3 linked regions of the Arabidopsis thaliana genome follow. The protein of the gene in region 1 interacts with the protein of each later gene in a pairwise test. Each region holds a gene or a part of one and is shown on either strand. Other genes may lie near its edges.

What was found.
Region 2: the proteins of AT5G35460 (region 1) and DiT1 interact in a protein complementation assay, tested with the Arabidopsis thaliana proteins (one large-scale study listed by BioGRID).
Region 3: the proteins of AT5G35460 (region 1) and AT5G19570 interact in a protein complementation assay, tested with the Arabidopsis thaliana proteins (one large-scale study listed by BioGRID).

Annotation. Positions count from the first base shown.
Region 1 is NC_003076.8:13,669,205-13,678,091, reverse strand, and holds AT5G35460 (uncharacterized protein), read right to left. Parts: upstream 5,604-8,887; 5' UTR 5,495-5,603; coding exon 5,414-5,494; intron 5,314-5,413; coding exon 5,194-5,313; intron 5,108-5,193; coding exon 5,050-5,107; intron 4,958-5,049; coding exon 4,857-4,957; intron 4,778-4,856; coding exon 4,682-4,777; intron 4,594-4,681; coding exon 4,500-4,593; intron 4,267-4,499; coding exon 4,029-4,266; intron 3,904-4,028; coding exon 3,546-3,903; 3' UTR 2,589-3,545; downstream 1-2,588. Other genes in the region: AT5G35450 (Disease resistance protein (CC-NBS-LRR class) family), read right to left, coding at 7,407-8,887. UniProt on the Arabidopsis thaliana protein: Glycerophosphocholine acyltransferase (GPCAT) that utilizes acyl-CoA to acylate glycero-3-phosphocholine (GPC), forming lysophosphatidylcholine (LPC).
Region 2 is NC_003076.8:4,057,678-4,066,119, forward strand, and holds DiT1 (dicarboxylate transporter 1), read right to left. Parts: upstream 4,613-8,442; 5' UTR 4,243-4,612; coding exon 3,154-4,242; intron 2,925-3,153; coding exon 2,703-2,924; intron 2,613-2,702; coding exon 2,250-2,612; 3' UTR 2,174-2,249; coding exon of another isoform or gene 2,173-2,173; 3' UTR 1,902-2,172; downstream 1-1,901. Other genes in the region: AT5G12850 (CCCH-type zinc finger protein with ARM repeat domain-containing protein), read left to right, coding at 1-1,511; MYB46 (myb domain protein 46), read right to left, coding at 5,262-5,823, 6,982-7,262. UniProt on the Arabidopsis thaliana protein: 2-oxoglutarate/malate translocator involved with DIT2-1 in primary ammonia assimilation and in the re-assimilation of ammonia generated by the photorespiratory pathway.
Region 3 is NC_003076.8:6,602,551-6,609,222, forward strand, and holds AT5G19570 (uncharacterized protein), read left to right. Parts: upstream 1-4,013; 5' UTR 4,014-4,188; coding exon 4,189-4,602; 3' UTR 4,603-4,771; downstream 4,772-6,672. Other genes in the region: ROPGEF10 (ROP uanine nucleotide exchange factor 10), read left to right, coding at 684-870, 1,504-1,620, 1,731-1,885, 1,988-2,062, 2,407-2,679, 2,764-3,090, 3,176-3,580; AT5G19580 (glyoxal oxidase-related protein), read right to left, coding at 5,045-6,370, 6,509-6,672.

The DNA.
Region 1 (8,887 bases):
CGCTGGTTTACCAGTCATAAAACTTCCGCAAACGCACCCATTATCAAACGCTCAATCAGTCGTTCAAAACGCTTGATAAAGCTTGAAACCGCAATCGCCCATTTCTGCAAACTCCCGCAACCGCAACCGCACCCGCTGCGTTTAAACCAGTCAGGCCCTTAATAACAATTGTAAACTATAAAATATTTATTTTATAGATAGATACAATTTCCAAACTTTTATGTACACTAGCTTTAAAAAATAAATTGTTCTCGCGGTGTACCGCAGGTTAAAATCTAGTTTAATTTGATATTTTTAGTTTTAAAAAAAATTCAGTCTTATGCATTCTACTTTATCATACATTTTAATTCTACACATTCACTTATTGATAATATTTGAATTCTAAATAGTTATTAATTTAGTATTTATGAAAAAGAAAAATTCTATCTTGCACATTCAATTTTGCAATACACTTTAACAATCCATTTCATCACAATAAACTCATTTTAATTCTACACATTTCATCTTAAGTGATAACAATTTCATATCAAAATAATATTTATATCAGATCAAATATAAATATTACTTAGTATTCAAAATAATTAACAATTAACATTAATAAAAAAATATAGAAATCCACAAAATAATTTGGAAAACAAACATTGTTTAAATTATTATTTTTGTATATCATAATCTCGTAAGTTTATTTTACCTCATACAAAATAATTTGAAATGAGTAAAAAATAAACTAACTCTCATTAAGTAATTGAAAACTCAAATATTATAAGCTATTTATTTCAAAAATGTTATGTTTTCACTTACGACTACATGCGTTAAATTTTTTAGAATAAAATATAAGTATAAGCTTGCTGTACCACATGAAAGGATGCAAGTTTCTCCATCACATGATGTGTTAAAATTCTTAGAATAAAACATAAGTATTCATAACATTATTATTATAACCTCATTAAGTTTTTCATTTTTGTTTTTATGGTTTGATTTAACGAATAAAAACACTATAGTACAAAGATAAATACAATATTATCCAATTAAATTAATGTTAAATAAATTATATTGTTATTTTAAACTTCTGGGCTTTTTGATTAGTATAATTATCTATACTAAATAATTTTTAAAAATAAATTACATGCTAATTTAATTGACCAAAACAAATGTAAAAAGAATTTTGTTAATTTTCCTTTTTGTTAATAATTTTTGTTCTTTTAGATATAGACATATAAGTTAGTATATGTAGACTTGTTTCGCTTTTTTGTTTTTTTATAGCCAATTAAATTAAGGGGCTCTTAAATTAATGTTAAATAAATTATATTGTTATTTTAAACTTTAAGGGCCTTTTTAATTAGTATTATTATCCATCGTAAATGATTTTTTTTTTTAAAATTACATGCTAAATTGAAATGACCAATAACACATTGATAACTAAATTTGTTAATTTTTCTTTTTCATTTAGGAAAAAAAATTATTATTTTATTTTATATATGGACATATAAATTAGTATATTTAGATTTGTTTCATTTTTTGTTTTTCTATTTTTCTAAGAAAAACAAAAGTTAAATCTCTTCTGACACATGTCAATATCTGATCAATAAATTTGACACGTGGCACAATCCTATGAGTTATTAATTTTGAAAACCATATTTTATATAATAAGATTCAGAAATATTTTCCAAAATCCATATATTTTCTTATTTCATATGTTACTTTTTTCCTTTATACAAAAATCTTAATATAAAAAATAACTAGAATCTATAATAATGTTAATTAGCGAGATAGCTTTGGTCGTTTAAAATCTCATGTGTACAGTCTCAAAAGCTTATAACAAAATATTAGAATCTAAAAATGTTAATTAGCATTTTGGGAGATTTATTGCGGATCAAGCAAGTCGCTAGAATCGGCTCAGAGACGGAAACCGAATAGTCAACTCGAACCCATTGATAGTGTCACAAAAAAAAGGTCTTGTATTCGCCGTGCTAGTGGATCAGTTTTGCTGGTTCCGGCCACCACCCATGTCCAACCTCAACCTCCTTAACAGCGTTGGCAATTTTTTCTCAGTTTAGTAAATATAGATTGTCGTACTGTCAAGGTCTTAAGCGCATTTCGAGAAATTTTATTCATAAAATTAAGTTTTTTCATTGAATGAACAAAAAATGAGACTAGCGTAAGTGAGAAATATGCCAAGTGTTGTTACTATACTCTCAAAGGTTGATCGATTACCATCATGAATATTGATATCATGGACAACTCGGACCTGACAAAACACATGATCAAGATAATTTTTCAAAAAACATTGTAGTCAAGGACACACCAACAATATTTACATTGATTTTCTGTTTTCTTTCTCTGTTCAGTGCGGTATTTGGCATGTATCTTAATGCGACCTACTTTGTAGATTATATAATCAAAATCTTATTCCATTCATTTCATGTGATACACGACTACACGTCCTGGATTCCACCAAGACAAGGCTCACGGGTCCAATGCTTAGAAGCGAGCGATGGAAGCTTTTAGATGAGAAGTATTTGATTCTACAAACAACCTAGAACTCGCAAGAACAGATTTGATTCAAGATACAAAGTATTGAAGCAAGAAACAAACTGAATTTCAATTGATCAAAGCGTGAATACAAAGTAGAGAATCAAAGAGCTTAAATTGAAAAGTACAACAATGGTCTAAAACTTAGAAAAGGAAACCGAATAATGCGAAATAAAGAGAGGAGCGTGATGATTCTAGCCGTTAGGCTATAATGGAGGATCTTCGGTGATGGCGTCGAGAGCTAAGTTAAAGTCGCAGCTTCTAAACGTCGTGTAGTCTTTTCATGAGGGTGAATATAATCAGCAGAAAGTCTTCAAGTACATCAGGGGGCTCTTCGGTTTGGTTTGACTCAATTTGACCGTACGGTGCAAATTGGTGGTTCTTGAGTCTTCTTCCAAATCAGCTCGTTACAGGGGCGATTTGCATCGATCAAAATCCTCTTCATGGTCGATTTTTGAGTGAATTCTTTGGCGGAACTCAAGTTATTAAGCTTCATCTCCACTGAACAATAGTCGTATCGGACATGATGGATTTCATAATGCTATCGGCATACTTATTAAGCTTATTCCGCGGCTGGTAACGACATGTTCGAGAACTATGCACTATCAAACACATGAATGTTATGATCTTTAGTGATGGTTGTTTTGTACAGCAGAAACAGAAAACAAAATCCGCGTCTCAAGGAGAACTTATCCCAATCTACTTCGCTGAAATCCGAAGATTTTCCTTTCTCGAAAACGCGTTAAAAATATAGTTAAATCTCTCATAATGCAATTTTAAGGCCAGAATGTCCTAGCGAAACAGGATCAAAACTTTGGCTAAAGAGTAAATAACAAGTTTCTTTAGAAAAAATAAACTACAAGATCATTCACATACATTAAGCTTTTAGAATGATGTATAGCAACAAGAGAAACAAACAGTTATAGAACAAAACATGAGGAACAAAAAAAACACCAATCATGATTCACCTTTGAAAACTTTATTTTACATGTACCTTTTTGTTAGAACCATGATCATGTTTCAGTAGATTTTGGCTCATTCTCAGTCGGATGTGACACAGCTTCATGATGTAGTATCTGCTCCTCTATCGGCTGCATCTCAGCTTTCTTCTTCTTCTCTTTCTGGATCACTTGCCGTGGCATTACCTCTAGTAAAAAGCTCCCTCCGTTCCACACAGCCGCAGAAATCTTTAGGATCTGAAAGATCACATGAAGTCTATAAGATAGGAAGATCGGTACGGTCAATGCCATGGTTGCCACCGTGAAGATGGCCTGGAATAGGATGTACATCCATATACGATTCTGATCCCCTAGCAGACCGCTCAGCTGCCACAACTTATTGTTTGCCTTTTCAGCTTTCTTCGACAGCTCTCTGCACATACCAAAGGATTCCATCAATACAAGTGTTCACTCTATGGTAAGAACACATTACATTATGCTGTGACCTTAGCGATCAATATGAGGAGAACATTAACATACGGCGTAGACAAGAGATACCTGTAAGAAGTCATAACTTCAGGATCTCTAAGGAGTCTCTGCCTACGCAGGACATTGACGATTAGAAAATAGAGCACTTGCCAAAGAGTATAAACGACTAAGGGGACGAGAAACAGCCATGTGAATAGGTAAGCTTTGTCTTCAACATAAGGCCATGAAACCCTACGATCAGTGCCTACAGGGTGCATAGCTGCAAAAGTCGCTGGATTCCACCACCTAATCGTGAAAAACACGAGCCCTGAAACCAAAATTCATTACAATAATAAAGAAACAATGGAGAGAGAGAGCATAAAGCTTAACTATATCTATCATATGCATTACAACAAGGAACCATGTGTTTGAATTAAAAACGGTTGAGAGGGGAACAACAAGCTAAGAATTCATACAACTACTTTAATCAAAGCCGTCAACTTTAGCAATATGAATCAATAACATATCTTCTTCTGTCAACAAGAAGATTATAGAACTCACCAGGTAAGAGATGTATAAGAACACTAACAATCTTATCCGGCGAACTAAAAACCAGACTGCAACGCCAGACAATAATCGCCCACGCCAATGGTCCCTGCAGCACAAGACACAACCAATAAAATAAATCAGCACACACAATGACACAAAAGACTCATATACATACATGTAGTTAAAAAGCATACCTCAGCAAAGGAAAAGCAAACCATGAAAAGCTTTTCATTCTTAGGATACAGAAGAAGATCAACCAAGAAGATTGTATTGGCATAGTAGCAAAAGTCCTATCACATACACAAAAATTGTTTCAATAACAATCAAAACGACTGTTTCTTAATTCCAAATCCTCAAAAGAGACATTACCAGAAGATAATAATGCCATTTCTTAAACCGGTAATATATCCATCGAAGAGGAACAAAGATCACATAGAAGAAACAGTAAACTAAAGGAATGTCTTGAGGTCCTGAAAACGAAAACATCATCAACATCAACAACATTGAATTAAGAACAAAACACAAAAAAAACAAAAAAAAAACACAATTTCTTTGAACTCACTTGCACCAAGTAGGAAACAAAAACCTCCAAATCCAAGCACACCAACGAGATGTGTCACCTTTAAAACATTACAGAACCAAACATTTTCAAACCAAAGTAACTTAAAATCAAAACATGATTGAAGAATCAAGAGAGAAACCTAACCTTATTGATGAATCTCTCATGTTCTTCGGCTTGTTTAGCGATCTTAACGGCTTGTTTCGATAAGATCTCACGCGTTTGTACCGCTTGTTTAGACAACAACTCTCTCGTCTGAACAACTTTCTGTCAAAATCAAAAACAATTGGTCCACAAAGTCAAAATCAACAAAATTGGAACAAAAGAGAAACATCAAAAATGGTGAAAATCGAATCTGATGTTGTACCTTTGATCGATCTTTGAAACGTTGTTTAACAGCATCAAACGAGTCTAGTCCATTGGAGTTTGAATCTTCGTTATTCGCCATTATTGCGGTCAGATTTCTCTGTAGATGCTTTTGTCGTTTTTAAAGGAGAATCCGAAAACACTGAATTTTTCTGTTTTCAGGATATTTTACTTTATGCGGAATTAAAAATTTGGTGAAGGAAAATGACCCAAAAATCATTATTAAACTCTTTATATTCGTTACTATTTTTGTTCAGTTTTATAAAGTGGTGATTAATTACATGTAATCCAATAATTACATTCATAATTAAGTAATAAGGACTTTATGTTTTATCTTGGGAAATCAGATGGAATATTAGTCCTCAAAGTAAATTAATTCCATTAATTGCCTTTGGTGATTATATAATTTAAAGACTTTAATAAGAGAGACTGAGAAGGAGCCACGTGTCGAAAGTTGAAACTTCTAGGACCCTCTTTTGCGCGGGTCGAGAAATTTCCTAGCGTACACGTATTTTTCTACATTATTATAGTTAGAGGAACATTTTGTTTAATTGCATCTTGTATTAAAGAAAAAAAGTAAAAAAAGAATGCTGTGGTATAACTTCTTTACTAGGTGCCGACAAAAAAAAAAAACTTCTTAACTAGGTTTTATGAGTTCAAAACTAGAGTTTCTTGACAAGGTTTCACATGTTCCAGAAGCTTTAGTTTTGTTTTTGGATGAAGTTTGAAAGATTCAAAAGCAGTGTTGTAAAAAGCGGTCTAGACGGTCGTTTATATGCCGCTAAGCGTTCAGTTGACGCCTAAATAATCATCTCGACTGCCTAAAATAACATAAATTTCGTTTTAGTATATTTTTTTTATTTTTAACTAATATTGCTTAAATTTTATAAGTTTTACTTCTACACATGGTTATAAACATTCATATATTGTTGATATAAATTAAAGAAACATTTTTATCTAATTTTTGATTAGGATCCGATTAATATTTTCTAATATATAGTTTTATATGATTTTTATCTATAATATCATATTTAAAATGTTTTATGTCATAAACGGATAAACCACCTAAAATCACTTAAACCCCGACTAAGCGTTCTAAACGCTAGGCGTTGGGTCATCGCCCGTTTATCGCCTAACACTTTTTTGAACATTGTTCAAAAGTAAACAAATATACTAAAGCCATAGAATAAGGGGGTCTGTCTGAAGTTGAAACAAGATTTAAAAACAAAAGTACAAAAACTGGTGTTTTGTTCTGACAATCTTATGTTGTTCCTGAACAAGAAATCGACTAATCCCTCAACGACCCAAGTCTAAGTCACGAGTGCAAATATCACACAGTACTGATAAAAGAAATTAAAATGAAACAAAAAACTTGTACAAAATGAGATTGTTTTGTTTATTGTACATCAGTTTTGCTCGTCTTGGTTCAACCATGACTTCACTATGCGTACACAGTAAAAGAGGTGCAAAACTAACAAAACTTAAGCCTAAATGTGATAAAAAACAAATCTAACCAGATTTGATGTAAATAAAGCTTACAAAAGCTAGCTAACTGTGTTAAATCACAAACGAGAAAACAAAACAAATTCGTATAAACATAAATATCCAATTTTTACAATGAACTACAAAAAAAACAAGGTTCGTTTCTCAATTTTATGAAAGAGTTCTCAAGCACGTTCCATGCATCCACACCGAAAACAAACATCAATAAAAAGCATATAGTTCTGAGCCACAACATAACGATGCACTGAAAGCGAGAGCTCCAACGTAATCAGTAGTACTTCAGAATCTGTATTCCAGAGATTTATCAGTAGATGACTCTTGTGAAGCAGCCTCTATCTCTCCCAATATAAGAGAATTTGACTAGCTTCTTGTTCTTTCCTGCATCTATTTAAAAGATGATCGATTTTAGAACAATGTATAAAAGTTGAGACTGTCCACATGACTTTGAAAAGTGAACATTATTATACCGTTTATTTTTTACCTGCTACTGGTTATTCTCTTTGTTCGTCGTCACAGTTGAAAAATTGAACATCGGGAATGTGTTGGACTTTGTAGTAATCTTCTCCAACCAATTTCTCCTTCCACTCCCTCTTCATTCCTTCAATCTTCAGTTCCTTTAAGGATGTTACATACTTGAGTCCGTCAGGAAGTTCCTCCAACTTTTCGCAACTATGTATAATTAAATCACGAAGACATGGCATCGACCCTTCTTCTACTATCCACTCTTCCAACTCCGATTGTTCAGATATTTGTAGAGCACGTAATTGAGGAAACCCGCCTTTTGAGCACACCATTCTCCTCCCTATGAAAGCCTTGCGTCTTAATTCAACCGACTTCAGATGAAGCAACTTTTCTAGAATTGGCATTGGATCCTCCTCCATGTGGCAAAACAATAAATATATGTGTGCAATGTGGGGAGGTAATTGATGTTGATCAGGAATCTTTGACAAATGTACTCCCAAACTTAACTTCTTTAGATGAATAAAATCCAGAACGAATTCTCCCACATAATCAACCATATAGGTTTTGCGCGAATAAATGAAACTAAGTGTCTCCAGCTTTCGAAATTGACGGAGAGATGAAGATAGATTTTCAAAAGTACACCTTTCACTAAAAGATACACCGAAAAACCTGAGCTTGGTCATACGGAGGAGGTCTGTCACACTACTGTGTTGCGTTGAGAAACACCACAAGTACTCCAGGTTCACTAGATCACCCAATTCCAACTTGGTTTTATCATGCATATCCAGAGGTAGGGAAAGGTACCTCAACTCTAGCATCTCTTTCAAAACATTTGGCACGTGAACCGGCACCCCGATAGCAACATGTAAGTTCAAATAGAGCATAAGCTTTAAATTCCGAATAGTAGAAGGTAGATGAGATACCACAGCTTGGTGTAAGCTCAAGAATCTCAAATGGATGAGCCCTCCAATGCTAGAAGGTAACTTCCCTCCTTCAAATTTTACCGAAGACAGATCCAACACCCTGAGCAATGGTAAGCTTTGGAAGCGTGAAGCTGATTGTATCCAAAGATCTTCCTTGAGTCCCAAAACTAAAAGAGATCTGACCTTTTTTTTGTGTCCTAGTATATGAAAGGCTTTACCACTATGTACGGTGAGTCTTCGAGATCTACTAGGAGATTGAGCAATGATGGTAGAGGTGGAAGTAGGGACTTTGATAATTTGGAGGAAGTTCTCTACTTTGGCTTTAGATATACATACTTCCCTCATCATGTCATGCATTTGACAAAGTTTAAGTCTCCAACTCAAATTGCTCTTTTCAGCAATAACCAAATTTCTCCTCACTAGTTCTTCTAGGTAGTCTTCTCCACTATCAAGGATGGTTAATCCATCGTAAATTCCCTCTGCGGCCCAGTAACTGTACAATGTCCGTGTCTTTATCTTGTAATCTTCAGGGAAATGGGCTAGGTAAAGGAAACAATGCTTTAAATCCGTTGGCAAATCTTCATAAC
Region 2 (8,442 bases), 9.6 Mb from region 1:
CATCATCCCCTGATAATGGTTCCTCGTTACTCTCCTTAGATTCAGTATCCTCTCCGACTAAGCCACACGGTACTGATGTAACTTTCGCATCAGAGAAGAAAGAGTACCCAATTGATCCATCATTGCCTGATATCAAAAGCGGGATTTATTCAACCGATGAGTTTCGTATGTTCTCGTTCAAGATCCGCCCATGTTCTCGAGCATATTCCCATGACTGGACTGAATGTCCATTTGCACACCCAGGTGAGAATGCAAGGAGAAGAGACCCGAGGAAGTTTCACTATACGTGTGTTCCATGCCCGGATTTTAAGAAAGGATCCTGTAAGCAAGGTGATATGTGTGAATATGCTCATGGGGTTTTTGAATGCTGGCTACACCCTGCTCAGTACAGAACACGATTGTGCAAGGACGGAATGGGTTGCAACCGAAGGGTTTGCTTCTTTGCTCACGCAAATGAGGAGTTGCGTCCCTTGTACCCTTCCACAGGATCTGGATTGCCATCTCCTCGGGCTTCGTCTGCTGTTTCCGCCTCTACTATGGACATGGCGTCAGTTTTGAACATGTTACCAGGCTCACCATCTGCTGCTCAACATTCGTTCACCCCACCAATATCTCCTTCTGGAAATGGTAGTATGCCCCATTCATCGATGGGTTGGCCTCAGCAGAACATACCGGCGTTGAATCTTCCTGGAAGCAATATCCAGTTGAGTCGTCTGAGATCTTCTCTTAACGCTAGAGATATTCCTTCTGAGCAGCTTAGCATGCTGCATGAGTTTGAAATGCAACGTCAGCTTGCTGGCGATATGCACAGTCCACGCTTTATGAATCATTCCGCTCGTCCTAAGACACTGAACCCTTCAAATCTGGAGGAACTCTTCTCAGCTGAGGTTGCATCTCCTCGTTTCTCTGATCAACTTGCTGTTTCATCTGTTCTATCGCCTTCCCACAAGTCCGCGCTTCTTAATCAGCTGCAGAATAATAAGCAGAGCATGCTTTCTCCTATCAAGACAAATCTAATGTCTTCTCCAAAGAATGTGGAGCAACATTCTCTTCTGCAGCAAGCCTCGTCACCCCGAGGCGGAGAGCCTATTTCCCCAATGAATGCTCGAATGAAACAGCAGCTACATTCACGCAGCCTAAGCTCCCGTGATTTTGGATCTAGTCTGCCCCGTGATTTAATGCCGACTGATTCTGGTTCGCCATTAAGTCCATGGTCAAGTTGGGACCAGACCCATGGAAGCAAGGTGGATTGGTCAGTCCAATCAGATGAGTTAGGTCGGTTGAGAAAATCTCATTCCTTGGCTAATAACCCAAACAGGGAAGCAGATGTTTCATGGGCTCAGCAGATGTTAAAAGACTCTTCATCACCTAGGAACGGAAACCGTGTTGTGAACATGAATGGTGCAAGGCCATTGACTCAAGGTGGTTCGAGTGTGAATCCTCACAACAGTGACACTCGTGAGAGCGACATTCTTGATGCGTGGCTTGAACAGCTGCACCTAGATCGCTGAGCCTCAGCTGCGAGAGAGAGGTTCACATTTCTGTGAAGCTGTGAAACTGATGATTCGTTTATTTATTATTCAAGAAAGCAAACGGAAACAAAAGCAAACTCCGGGTAAGCTTTTTTCGATTCTAATAACCCTAAAAGGCTCAGTTTTTTCAGGCTTCTTTCTGAAATTTCTTTACTTTCTTATTTTTATCACCTCATTAAATTAATTATTGTATCATCTCTGTTGTAACAATGGCCAAAGTGCGCCTCTATTACTTCCCGGATTTCTGATTTACATTTTTTGTATCCTCTCAGTTTGTCAATTGTTTCTAATATCTCCTTCATATTTGTCAAAGAACACTGTATGAGAAATAATAACATATTGTTTCAGCTAATAAGATTCATTCATTTCCTATTGCTTTCTCTGCTTTCCTGTTTTTTCCACTAAACTTTAACCAGCGATTCATAGACTAATAGACATTAATCTCTCAACTAACACGTTTATGGAAGTCGAGTAACTATCAAGTAAAGTGGTGGTCTCACTTTGAAACAGTAAAGTTAGAAATCAAACAAAATTGACGCAAGTTAAGATTGCTTACACTTCAAAATGTGTGTGAGTGAGAATAAAAATTGCAGAAAAACTCTGCTCAATCCTTATAACCCTGATTTCAATCCTTCTCAAATCTGAATCTCAAAGCCGTTCTAAGAGATTATATATATAAGTAAGGAAAAGAATGGGAAGATTGGTGTATGGTGGTCCTCACCACAAGCCAATGAACTTCCACCAGGCACCACCTACACCAAGCCAGATGAGAATGTTGACTATTGAAATCAGGAATCCATAGCCCCACCATTTAGCCAGCGGCACGTAGTTAGCTCCGTAGAAGATAGGCGCAGACCCGATACCATAATGGGTCAATCCTCCCATCAGGTTGGAAAGGAACGCAAGAACCAAGGCTGCAAAGTAAGGTGGAGTGCCTAGAGCGGTTGAAACCGATAAAAAGGCAGTGAACATAGCACCAATGTGGGCAGCTCCACTAGCAAAGAAGTAGTGAGTGTAGAAATACAAGAGGACGAGGATTCCAAAAGATAGCTGCCATGACAAACCCAATCCTCCCACAAACTGCAATCAAAACCCAAACAATGTCAAAACATTTCATTAGCATGCTAAGTCATTAGGCTTATTAAGCATTCATCAAATCATTTAACAAACCTTGACTACGGTCTGGCTGAACCACTCAATGAGACCATATTTGTTAAGATAACCAGCCATCGCAATGAGAGCAGCGAACCAGGTGAGTGTGTCCCATGCGACCGACTCAGCTAAGCACTCTTTCCATGTCACAACACCTGTCACAAGAAGGACTGATAATCCAAGAATGGCTGCAGTCACAGCATCTACACCCAACTTAGCTCCAAAGATCCAGAGACCAACCTGTGTCAAGGAGAACACTTTTTTAGAAAAGGAAAACCTTCTCTGTAATAAAACACCAAAACCACAAACATTTTCACTCAAAGCAAATGCATTAAACAGAAGCAAAGCCCTAGCTTAATCTAAGGAGCTACAATAGCTAAAATCTCTCAATGTTCAATACTGAAGCACCTTTCAAATCAAGCTCTCACCATAAGTAAGAACAGATCCGATGAAGCAGAAGCACACTTACCGTGAGGAATAAAGTGGCAGCCATAATCAATTCGTTCTTAGACATAGGTCCCATCTTGTCAAGCTTTTCCTGAGCCAGCTTAGGAGCATCAGGACTGCTCTTCACCGTAGGAGGATAGATGAGATACAAAAGAAACGGAACAACAATCAAAGACACAAGTCCTGGTACAATCGCAGCTTTAGCCCAATCAGTCCATCCAATCGTCTGCTTAATCGTGTTAAACGCCAAATTAGCACTCAAAGGATTCGCAGCCATAGCCGTCAAGAACATAGAAGAAGAGATCACAGAAGTCTGGAAACAAGTAAGCATCAACCACGAGCCAAGACGGTGCTCTGTTCCATCCCCAACGTTACTCCCACAAGCAACACAGAGAGATTTCACCAACGGGAGAAAGATTCCACCGGCACGAGCCGAGACAGAAGGAATCGCCGGAGCTAAAAGAGCTTCACTGAAGACGAGACTGTAACCGAGACCAAGGGAGGAGCTACCGAAGAGTCTAACGAACTGGTAAGCTACACGGTTACCGAGACCGGTTTTGATGAAACCGCGAGCGAAGAAGAAGGCAAGAGCGATGAGCCACGGGATTGGATCTCCGAAAGCGGAGAACGCGGCGGCGAACGTTAGGGTTTTGGTGAGAACGGAAGCTCCTAATCCCATTAGAGCAACAGCACCGAGAGGAAGCGGCTGAGTGATGATCCCGACGATGGTGGCGAGGAAGATCGCGAGTAATTGCCACGCGTTGCGAGTGACACCTTCGGGGACTGGAACGAACCATAGAATCAAACCAGTAGCGATCGAAGCGAGAAGAGGCTTAATGGCAGCTCCTTGCCATGGAACCGGAGCTGGAACCAAAGGAGGAGTTGGAGAAGAGGAAGCTGAAGCGACGGTGGAAGAGGCTTTAACGAGAGTTGATGATCTCCGGCGTAAAGAGACGGGAAGTGGAGATTTGAGTAAGGAGAAGCGAGAATCGAGAGATCGGAGAGGTTTCGTCAAATTGAGAGAGGAAGAAGGAGGACGAGGGAGAGAGAGAGATCGAGATTTGAGAGGGAAAGCGAGAGAGCAGGAGCCGGAGAGAGCGAGAGACGCCATGGTTGTAGCGTCGTCGGCGAGAGAGAGGTGTGAAGAGGAGAGGGAAGTGAAGAAGGAAATGAGTAAGAAGAGGAAAGAGAGAGTTGGATAAATGTTGACCGTTGGATTGGAATCGGACGGTGAGATTAAGAAAAGGAATATACGGACAAGAGTGAGAGAGAGTGATGATGAGATGAGATCGTGAGGTGAGAAATAGAGATCTCCGTCTTTGGTGGGTCAGTCACCTCATCCTATTGGCTGAAATATTTACGAAAAGCCATTTTGGGTTTGGGTTTGGTCTTTTTAGATCGACGAAACATACAAAGCAAAATCCTTCACTCAACAAATTTTCTATTGATTTATTAGCTTTGTTTTTTGGTTTTGAAAGATCTTAAACTATGCGTTTACTAGTGGATCGTCCAATGAAAGATTAACTGGCAATAGAATAGTAGCTTTCATTACATTGTCCAAGATGGGCCGAGATGGCTTCGCTTGGAATTAAATCTAGTGTAAACCCTTAAGCGGCCTCTCGTTTTTTTTTCTTTGAGTGTTATATGGTTCATAGTTTTGATTTGTTTGTTTAGAGTAAGGTGTGACATCAAATATTGAATACATGATTCTTTTATGTAAGAGGATACTTTCTAATGTGAATGTCTAAGAAAGTTACCAAATGTTTTAAAGTACATTCAATAAAACAAAATGTTCAGTTTTATCCAAAGATATAACATCAGAAAAACTTTCATTTAATTAGTTCAATCTTCTCCATTGCTACTTGATTACAAAATTCTTCAAGTGTTTGCCCCTGTTATATTAAAGAATGTATGTGCTTATTATTTCTTTTATTTATTTATTATAGGATATATGTTTTACATTGACTAATCATTACATGGCACCTCAAGGCTCAAGCCCTAGTACGAAAAGATTATTCGAAATACAAAATACTCTCTAACAATGTATATATATTTGCATTTATGTGTGTGTGGCTAAGAATCTTGAGTATAAACCGCAATAGAAAAAAGAATAAGATGACGTAAAAATATTCATATGCTTTGTTTGAAGTTGAAGTAAAACGAAGGAACCTCAGTGTTCATCAACTGGTCAAGGTCCCAAAATTCTTCCACTGGTCTCATACCCTCAGGTGCGTTTCCGGATCCATTAGTGTTCAACTCGTCTAAGTGGTTGTTTATATTTGCATTGTACCAATCACCTTCTTCACATTCCAAAGGTGGGAAGTAGAGTTCCCCTTGTACCCCTGCGTTTACTCCATAGATACCATCTACATAAGGGGTAAAATCGTCATTGCACGGGTGGCTGATCATGTTTCCCGTTGGAAATGGATTGTTGGTTTGTATGTGGGTCAAGGAAGGGTTGACGAAGCCTTGTTCTTGTAAGGACATGAAGCTTCCTATAATGTCTTTAATATCCAAAGAAGATGCGGAATTAGAAGAGGAATCGCTTGCTGTGTTGGGTGATGAGGATGAGTTGTTGATTAAGTTGGAGGTATCGGACATCTTCTTTAGCCTTTTCTTTATTGTTGAGTTCCAGAAATTCTTGATCTCGTTATCGGTCCGACCAGGCAATCGTGCTGCAATCTGAGACCACCTATGAAATCGAAGAATAAGAGAGTAGAATAGTTTAATGAGATGATGTTATGTAAAATGTATACCAGTGCATGGTTTGCATGGGAATTAGAGAGTGATCCGTTCTTCATGTTTTTTATGTTTGAGTACGTGAAAAAGAGGCAATATATCAACAATTATAAAATTGCACAATCATATTAAGCAATAAAATGACATTATACACACTGCGTGTTTTGAATTGAATCTATATATATATATATATATATATATATATATATATATATATATATAAATAGAGAGGAAACATGTCCTGCGTAAAAAACACTAGAACGTATATTTCTGGAGAAAGTGACAAAAAAAGGAACTAATAAATATATAATTACAAAGATGAAAGTTGAAGTAAAACCCTAAGGAAGAGAAGAAAAGGTGTGTAAAGTGACAAAAGCCGCTTTCACTAAAATAAGTGTTTGTTGTTAGATAAGATCATAAGACGCACTCTAAGTCTTAAAACCCACGATCAACGAACTTTGACCACTCACATAATTACATGTGAATGTACTCATACCTATTTTGGTTTTATGCGTCTATTTCCATTCTTACTACTATTATTCTAATTCAACTTTCTTTTGGGTCAATTTTCTTCGTACACAATCATTCTTCCCTTTGAATTTAAACAGTTACTAATCGTACCAATGAAAACTCGACCAAACTTTATCCTTCCACGTAAGTTTGATTATACATTTTACGATGTTAACGTATCTTATATATATAGTATTACTTTTTACTGATTAATGTAATAGTATAATTGAAAACTCGTCCTTAAAACAAACATAGATATTATACCTCTAAATAGATAGCTCTGCACTTCTTATTTATTTGGTAGAAAAAAAAAATCAAATAAAATATGGTGAAAACGTTATCAAGATCTAATTTGACAATTTGGTCGTTTTAGGGTGGACTTTTTTTTTAAAATCAGTTGACTGGCTTTTCTATGCTTTAACTTTGTACCCATTAACCGAAAACAAATTAAGCTACACAAGTTTAAAAACAAGACTCACCAGACAAAAGCTAGTTTGCCAGAACATTTATATTTATCTTCCGGCCACTAGTTTCCATATTTTATTCTATCTCTTAGTTGTTGTTATTATGTCAAAACCAAAATGATGGTAAAAATGTAAACCTGTTGCCGAGGATGGAATGAAAGCGAATGATGAGATCCTCTTCTTGAGGAGAGAAAGCGCCACGCTTGAGGTCAGGACGAAGATAGTTGATCCAACGAAGACGGCAGCTTTTGCCACATCTTTGAAGTCCTGCGTTTTTCGCAACATCACTCCAACATCCTTGTCCATTGCTTAACATGTATTGCATCAGCTTTGAGTCTTCCTCAGGAGACCAAAGTCCCTTCTTCATCTTCTTTACTTGGTGAGTACTAGCTGCAATGGCTACCTCTGGCTTCCTCATATTTTTGGTTGAGTTAATTGTTATTATTTCTCTTCAATTTGTTTGTCTTTCTCAAGGATCCATTGATGTGAACGAGTGAAGTTTGTTTTATAATAGAGAGAGAAAAGAGAGAAGACTTGATGAAGGGAGAATGATGATGATGAGAAAGGGATGGTTGTATGGTTTGCTTACAATTCTGGGAAGAAAAACCATTTGCACTTCTTCCTTTTTAATCTCTATTCCTTAATTATATTTTTATTGTATATATTATATTTATAATATAGTGTTGCTTTGTTTTAAAACATAAAAGAAAAACATCCGAACCCTGGCTCTTTTTCAAATTAAACACATTTTTTTTGTCGGCATATATTGTGTAAGGTAAATAAAATAAAATACACCAACAACAAATGTATGTTTTGTATATAACTAATTTGACGAAATGAAGAAACGTTAGTTGATCGGTCATGGACGAAAACGGTTTTGAAAAAGACCCGATATGCAAAACATCAAAGAAAAAAAGGAGAAGTGCTCTTCACTTGTTCTTAATTTTATTTTCTTCTTTTCTTGTTCTTTTTGAATATATAACTCATTTCTATTAGTTTCTTCATTCACAAGGTATACATTACAGACATATCTAATTCGTTAACCTTACGTGTGTATATATATGATATATAACATTGATATATGATAGTATATAACATTAATATATATATTCATGAGCATGTCTATTTCTATTCAAAGATGTCTTCATTTTCAAGGTAAGCAAATGTTGTGTTATTTAATTAATTGTATACGTATGTAAGCATATTTCAATTGTATAAAATAAATCGACGTGTGTCACAGAACCCTTTTTTTGTGTTATATGAGGCTTAGCGAGCAAGAAGTTTTGCTTCGGCTTCACACAACCACCTCTCGCGCACCAACACGTATACTTGAAGAAATCTAATTATTGTAATGAAGAAAATGTTATACTCCTTTTATCCATATATTTTATATTCGTTTTTTCTTTAATATATAAACGTGTGTCATGATTTTTTAAGTTCTCGATTTACACTCATATCATTTTTATTTTTTTACAGAACACTCATATTATATGATTTATAATATTAATAGCCCACCCATCCGAAAAAACAAAACTTTTTATACAATCATAAACAAGACATCCATAGATAAAGTACAAAAGAAGTTAGAATAGTACTGA
Region 3 (6,672 bases), 7.1 Mb from region 1:
CGATCCACAAAACATAAATTATCCCTCTCCAAGTTTATAGCACATAGGATTCTAACTCGGTCCGGCGGGTAACTCTAAAACATCATTTTTCTAATCGGTTGAGCCAGTCACATTTTTGTAGACATATTTTATTTAGAAAATGTTCTTACAAGCTCATTTAACGAAATGTGGATTAGTTCAAATAACGAACAATTTTCTTACACGAAATTGTTCCAGTGAATCAAAACCTGAGCAGCGTGAGGTAAAATTCTAAACAAATGAAAGATAAAATAAATTAAGGAAAAGTCGGAGTATCTTTAACCGCCCTTCCACTATTTATCTTTTGTTTGTTTTTTGAAAACATGGACCGCACGTTGTCTCTCCAGCCCTAGAAAACTACTTCAACATTTCTCTGTTTCATTCATTTTGCACCAACTAAAAAACAAAAACATAAAACAACTGGAAAGAAAAAAGTACAGAACATAAAGTAGTTTTGTTTCATTCGGTGGTGAAAGAACAGAGACAAGGGAGAGCTAAAGGACTAGTTGCTTGATCTGTACGTCTCTTTTGCTTTCTTCTCTTCCATTTTGTGGATTTCATTTGCTTTGTTTTCTTTTATATAATACGATCTGAGACAAGAAAAAAGAAGAGAGAAATATAAAAAAGTGTGTGGAGAGATATAAATTGAGAGGAGTAAATTGGGAATGGTGCGGACATTAGGACGTAAACTAAGCTGGCCAAGATCTTTTAGTTTTAGAAAGATGTTCGATGGTCGGAACTCTGGACATTCATCTTTCTCTTCTCGTGGGGATGGCATGCATACACCCGAGCACGAACTCGCCGGACATGCTGCACCATCCACTCGTAGAGGCAAGCAAAATAGGAGATCAGGTAACATATTAGTGCAAGTTTATTTGGTAAATGGTAATGGCAAAATTTTAATTTAATGGAAATGAAAATTTTATTTCGAGATAATATAATGGTAGAAAGAAAACTTTAGGTGAAAGAATTTCTAAAAAATATCCATTTCATATTTTCGTAAATATATCCATTGCACCAATAATTAATTAATGCTCCAATTAATGATAATGTAGAATCTCTAAATCATTTATTACCCGCTTATATATATTGACCGAAATAAGAAGTCCTCATTTTATAAATTATATATAGACAGGAAAATGATATTATTGCACGGAAAAAAATTATGTGATCCGCAATAATTAATTATTGCTAAATTTGATAACCACATAAACGAATAAAATGTTATCCCAAAACCACAATGAATTAGATGTATTAATATCTTCATTAGATGTATTGTATATAGCATAATGAATTGCATTTAGATTGCATTTGTGTAAGATGCATGGGTTGGATCTGAAAATCAATTGGTAAGAGTAGAATTACCAATATCGTTGTATAAAGATGAGTTCTTTAACTAATATTTATATATTTTTGATAACTATTTAATTAATATTATTCTATGTTGGATTCCTTACATAATCTTTGTATTGATATCTGTTTCAGACATGGAAGTGATGAAGGAAAGATTCGCAAAACTGCTTCTTGGAGAGGACATGTCAGGCGGTGGGACAGGGGAGACCTCTGCGTTAGCTTTGTCAAACGCCATCACCAAACTCGCTGGTAAACCTTTAACACTACTAATATGATTAAAACATTAAATGTCTAATAACGATTTGAATGGTTAAAATAAGTCACAAACTAATTAATGTGGCTTTGGTATTGGCATGCAGATTCGATGTTTGGAGAGCAGATGAAATTGCAGCCTATGTATCCGGAGACAAAAGAGAATTGGAGGAAAGAAATGGGTTGGTTATTATCTGTGATTGATCACATTGTCCAGTTTGTTCCTTCTAGACAAATGGGTAAAAATGGCCAATTCACTGAGGTGAATGCATGCAACTGTTAGTCATTAATTACGTACATATATAACAACTACTAGTCTACTAGTGACGATTTTTCTTATTAACCCTAATTTTCTCCTTTGTAGATCATGGTTACAAAACAAAGAGATGATTTGCTGACGAACATTCCAGCTTTACGCAAACTTGACTCGGTTCTTCTCGTGAGTTTAATTACTACTTGATTGTTTCAACCGCGGTTTCAACGTTTGGGAAAAATTAAACCATTATATTATATCAAACACCACATCGTTTCAAAAATATTTTGTTTGCAACAATATCCATGACACTAGGACAAACTACTATATATACTACAAGTCATAGTCATCTTTGCAAATTATAAAGATAAATATAACTGAAAACGTCATAACACCAAGAGTACCATCTCATTAATTAATTTCATATAGGAGTGCATGTATTATAAAATGATCATGATATATATATATAACAAACAAAAATAGATGAGTTGTGACCATTTATCATACTAATGCAATTACTCATTTGGCAGGAAACTTTGGACAACTTCAAGGATCAGAAAGACTTTTGGTATGTGCCAAGAGATATGGAGGATGCAGATCACAATGGAGATTGGAGGAGGGATGAGAACTGGTGGTTACCAGTTGTTAAGGTTCCAACAGATGGCTTGTCTGAGGAATCACGTAGATGGTTGCAGAATCAGAAAGATTCTGTGGCTCAAGTCCTTAAAGCCGCCACGGCCATCAATGCTCATGTATTGTCTGAAATGCACGTTCCTGAAAACTACATTGATTCCCTTCCAAAGGTTACTTACTTCTTCTTCAAAAGTGTTCTGTTTCTTTACAATTTCCACTAAGCTAGGAAGCTGATGAGGCTGTTGGTTATGTAGAATGGGAAGACAAGCTTGGGAGATTTTCTTTACAAGAGCATAACAGAGGAGAGCTTTGATCCTGACTACTTTGTCTCTTTCTTGGATTTGTCAACGGAACACAAAGTACTTGATCTAAAGAACAGGATTGAAGCTTCCATGGTGATCTGGAAGAGGAAGATGTGCCAGAAAGAGAAAGACGGGAAATCTCAGTGGGGATCCACTGTTAGCTTAGAGAAGAGGGAGCTTTTCGAAGTCCGAGCTGAGACCATTTTGGTTATGCTCAAACAACAATTTCCTGGGATCCCACAATCCTCCCTTGAAGTCTCCAAGATTAAAAACAACAAGGTAACATAACATAACAAAGACTAAACAAACATCAACAAAAATGTAGTGAGACTGAGTAAGAGTTTGTTGTGATTTGATCTTACAGGATGTTGGACAGGCGATTTTGGAGAGCTATTCAAGGGTACTAGAGAGTCTTGCTTCAAAGATAATGTCAAGAATAGAGGATGTTCTTGAAGCCGATCGGCTAGTTCAAAGACAGTTGATGGGAGAGGCAGAGACAAGATCAGAAAGCGAGGCAGAATCAGAATACGAGGAAACTGAAAAGGTGGTTGCAGCGGAAACACCAAACTCGAGGAAACTATCAGACTTCATAGGGTGGAGATTGTCATCTGATACTAAGAAGCATAGTTCAATGAGTGATATAGAATTCTTCCACAAAGTTGAGCAGGAGAAGGAGAAGCCCATGATGAAGTCTCCAAGAGCTCTACCGAAGAAATTTTCATATCTAGCAAAGTTAGAGAACATGAGAAGCCCTAGTGACAGACACTGATAGTGAAAAGAGAAGGTAATAGAACAGGGCATAGAAGAAGAAAAACACAAAGAGAGTGAGAGAGAGAGAATAGAAGAAGGTTAAAGTGTGTGAGAATGTACATATATAACAATGCAGGCATTGGTTTTAGGATTTGGACATGAGACTTGGTGTTTGATCATGATTGTTGCTTGTTTTGACTATTGCTTCCTGTTGTTTTTTCTAAGAAGGAAGTGTGATTCAGTGTGTAACAATATTTTGGTATTTTTGTTCTTTGGTGTTTTGTATTGTAACGTCTAATCTACAACATTGTTTCCTAATGGATTTTGAAGCTCATTGATAATGACTAGTAGTGTAGTAGTATTGTAATGAAACATTATTTGATGACGACATGTAATTTAGTGGTTTGTGATAATACCATTGATCTGTGTTTACCATCCGGACTATTCAGGTATTCGGGTCCGTTATTTGGATTTTTAAATTTTTCGGATCGGGTTTAGTTCGGTACCTTTCGGGTTCGGGTCGGTTCTGGATATCCAAATAATTCTTCTTTTTGATCTCCTTTACTCAACATTTAGTGGTTAAAACACAGAACAACGGAAAAGGCAAATCGGGATCAGCCACCGGCGATGAAGGAAGACATGGATAAGATGGTGGCGGTAGGGCTCGTATGGGGAGCCACCAATGCTCTGATCCGTCGTGGCGCTCTTGCCTGGGATAAAACAAAGTCTTCTTCGACAACAGAATCTCATTCTCCTCCTCTTCAGATCCGCCGCAAAATCATGATTGCTCTCCGCGACTGGATCAATCTCCTCCTCTTCTGGCAATACTCAATTCCTTTCCTCATAAACCTCTCCGCCTCCGCCACATTCTTCGCCCTTCTCAGTCACGCTCCCATCTCTCTTGCCGTTCCGGTGACTAACGCCACAACCTTTGCCGCAACCGCCGCTTTTGGGATCCTTTTAGGGGAAGAAACTCAAATCGGACTTGCTTTGTTAGGTACGAGCTTTATTGTATTTGGAATTTGGCTTTGTGTTCTGTGAAATTCGAATTTTGTAAAACCGTGACTCTGTTTCTGTGAGATCTATTTTGCGAAAGAACTATTTGTGTACCATCTTTTGAGAATTTTAGCTAACTCTCTGCAATATTATCGAAGGTAATTAACATTACTAGTCAATGAAACAAACAGTGACTTGCAATGAACGCATCGAATGATTTATACGCAAAACCGAACTAGTGAAGAAAGAATAGAGCCAAAAGTAATAATAAAAGAATTTCTCCAATACAAAATTTAGTCATAAAAACTCACCGAAAAGGTTTACATGAACGGAAAAGTTTATAGAAGTGAAAGAAAACACAAGTAATTTGGATCCATTAATGGTGGCATAAACAATATATATAGAAGGAAAAAAAAACTGATATTATGTGATTGTTTTATATTAAGATGTTACGGTCATAAGACAAAATGGGTAAAAATTATCGTCATTAGACGACCTGAATCCATTCTCCAGTGCTGGGAACACCTTTGTAGATGGCAAAGATAAGATAGTAACCCGGTGGAGCGATGTTTCCATTTGGTGGTGCAACGGCCTGGATATCGTAACCGGCACCAGCAGGTTTGACATTATTGACACCCAAGATGAGCATCCTCATGTTCATTGAGATACTGTGTGTTGTGAAGGCAGGGGCTAACATGGTAACCTTGAGATTTCCCTTGGTTGCTCCCTTTTCTTTAAGGTCGACCTTCACGTTGAAGAATTGTCCGTATTTGACCTGTTTTGGGGTGCCGGTGGTGACGATCTTTGGCCTTATGTTGGCTAGAGCCGGGTCGAGGTAAGGTGGGGAGAATTTCTCAACGCGAAGCTCCGTTGGGAACTCAACGTTGTACTTGTAACCGTCGTTGGTGTTGCTGCCACCGACAAGAACCTTACCGTCTGGAAGAATGATGGCGCTGGAGTGGTACATACGTGGGATGGTGGTGGGCTTGAGCTGTCTGAAACGCTTGCCACGTGCAGCATGGGGCTTGTACAAGAGGGGAGCAAAGGCAGGGTCTTTACCATATCCCCAGCCTGAACAACCACGTTTAGCTCCGTTGACTAGAAGGATGTCTCCGTTAGGGAGGATGACAGTATCACTCATGATTCGTGGGGTTGGCATCATCTCCGTCTTCCATCGTGGCTTTGCGCTGTTGATCCTTATCCTGGCGCAGTCTTGTAGTGCTGGTTCGTATATTTTTTTACCAGCCTTGTAATACGCGTCTTGTTTGGAACCACCACAGACGAGAACCTCGGCTGGGATGACCTTGGGGTTTTTCACGTAAAGTTGGATGGGGAGGAGTGCGGAAGAACCTGATCCCGGGTAGTTACGGGCACCACCTGGGAGCTGAGGGAACTCCTTGATGACTTGGTTTGTTTTGGGGCTTAGAAGGATGGATCGGTTGTTAGCGAAAATGAAGAGGTTACCGTCGGTGTTAAGCCAGACGAAAGGGTAAAGGTTGTTTTCTTCCGGGTCGTCTGTTTGCCTGAGGAGCAATGAGTCAAAGAGCTTCCTGTTGTTTTGTCCCTCCTCAGGAATGTATTCGTAGTTCAAGGCGTCTCTTCCACCAATCACGAAGAACTTTCCGTCAGGGAGAGTTGCTTGCGTTGAGTACCATCTCTTCGCGGCCAATGCCTGAGGGTATTCTTCCCACTTGCAGTTTTCACAGCTGGATAGGTACCTCGCGGTGTTGGCTCCTCCTCCGTATCCTCCAGTGCTCACCAATGTACCATTTACGGTCAGACCTCCGGATGAGCACCATGTATCGGTGGAAAGCTATCATGAAACATGTGAATGCAAATATTTAATTCAAGTTCGTATAATATGATTCTATTTAATGAGAAGAAGATAACCCGTGTCTAGGCCTAGGCCCAAAAAAAAAAAAAAAAGATGGTGTCGTGAGTTTGAACATACCCCTAGAGGCTTAAGGGCGCCGGTGTTGACATCCATGAGAATCGAATGAGCCCAACAATCGACCTTGTTAGTCTTAGCGTCCACGACATGGCATGGTACGCCTGGAGGCAACTTAATCTTTGAAATTCTCCAAATGGTGGCGTCATAGTACTGGACCTTGTTGA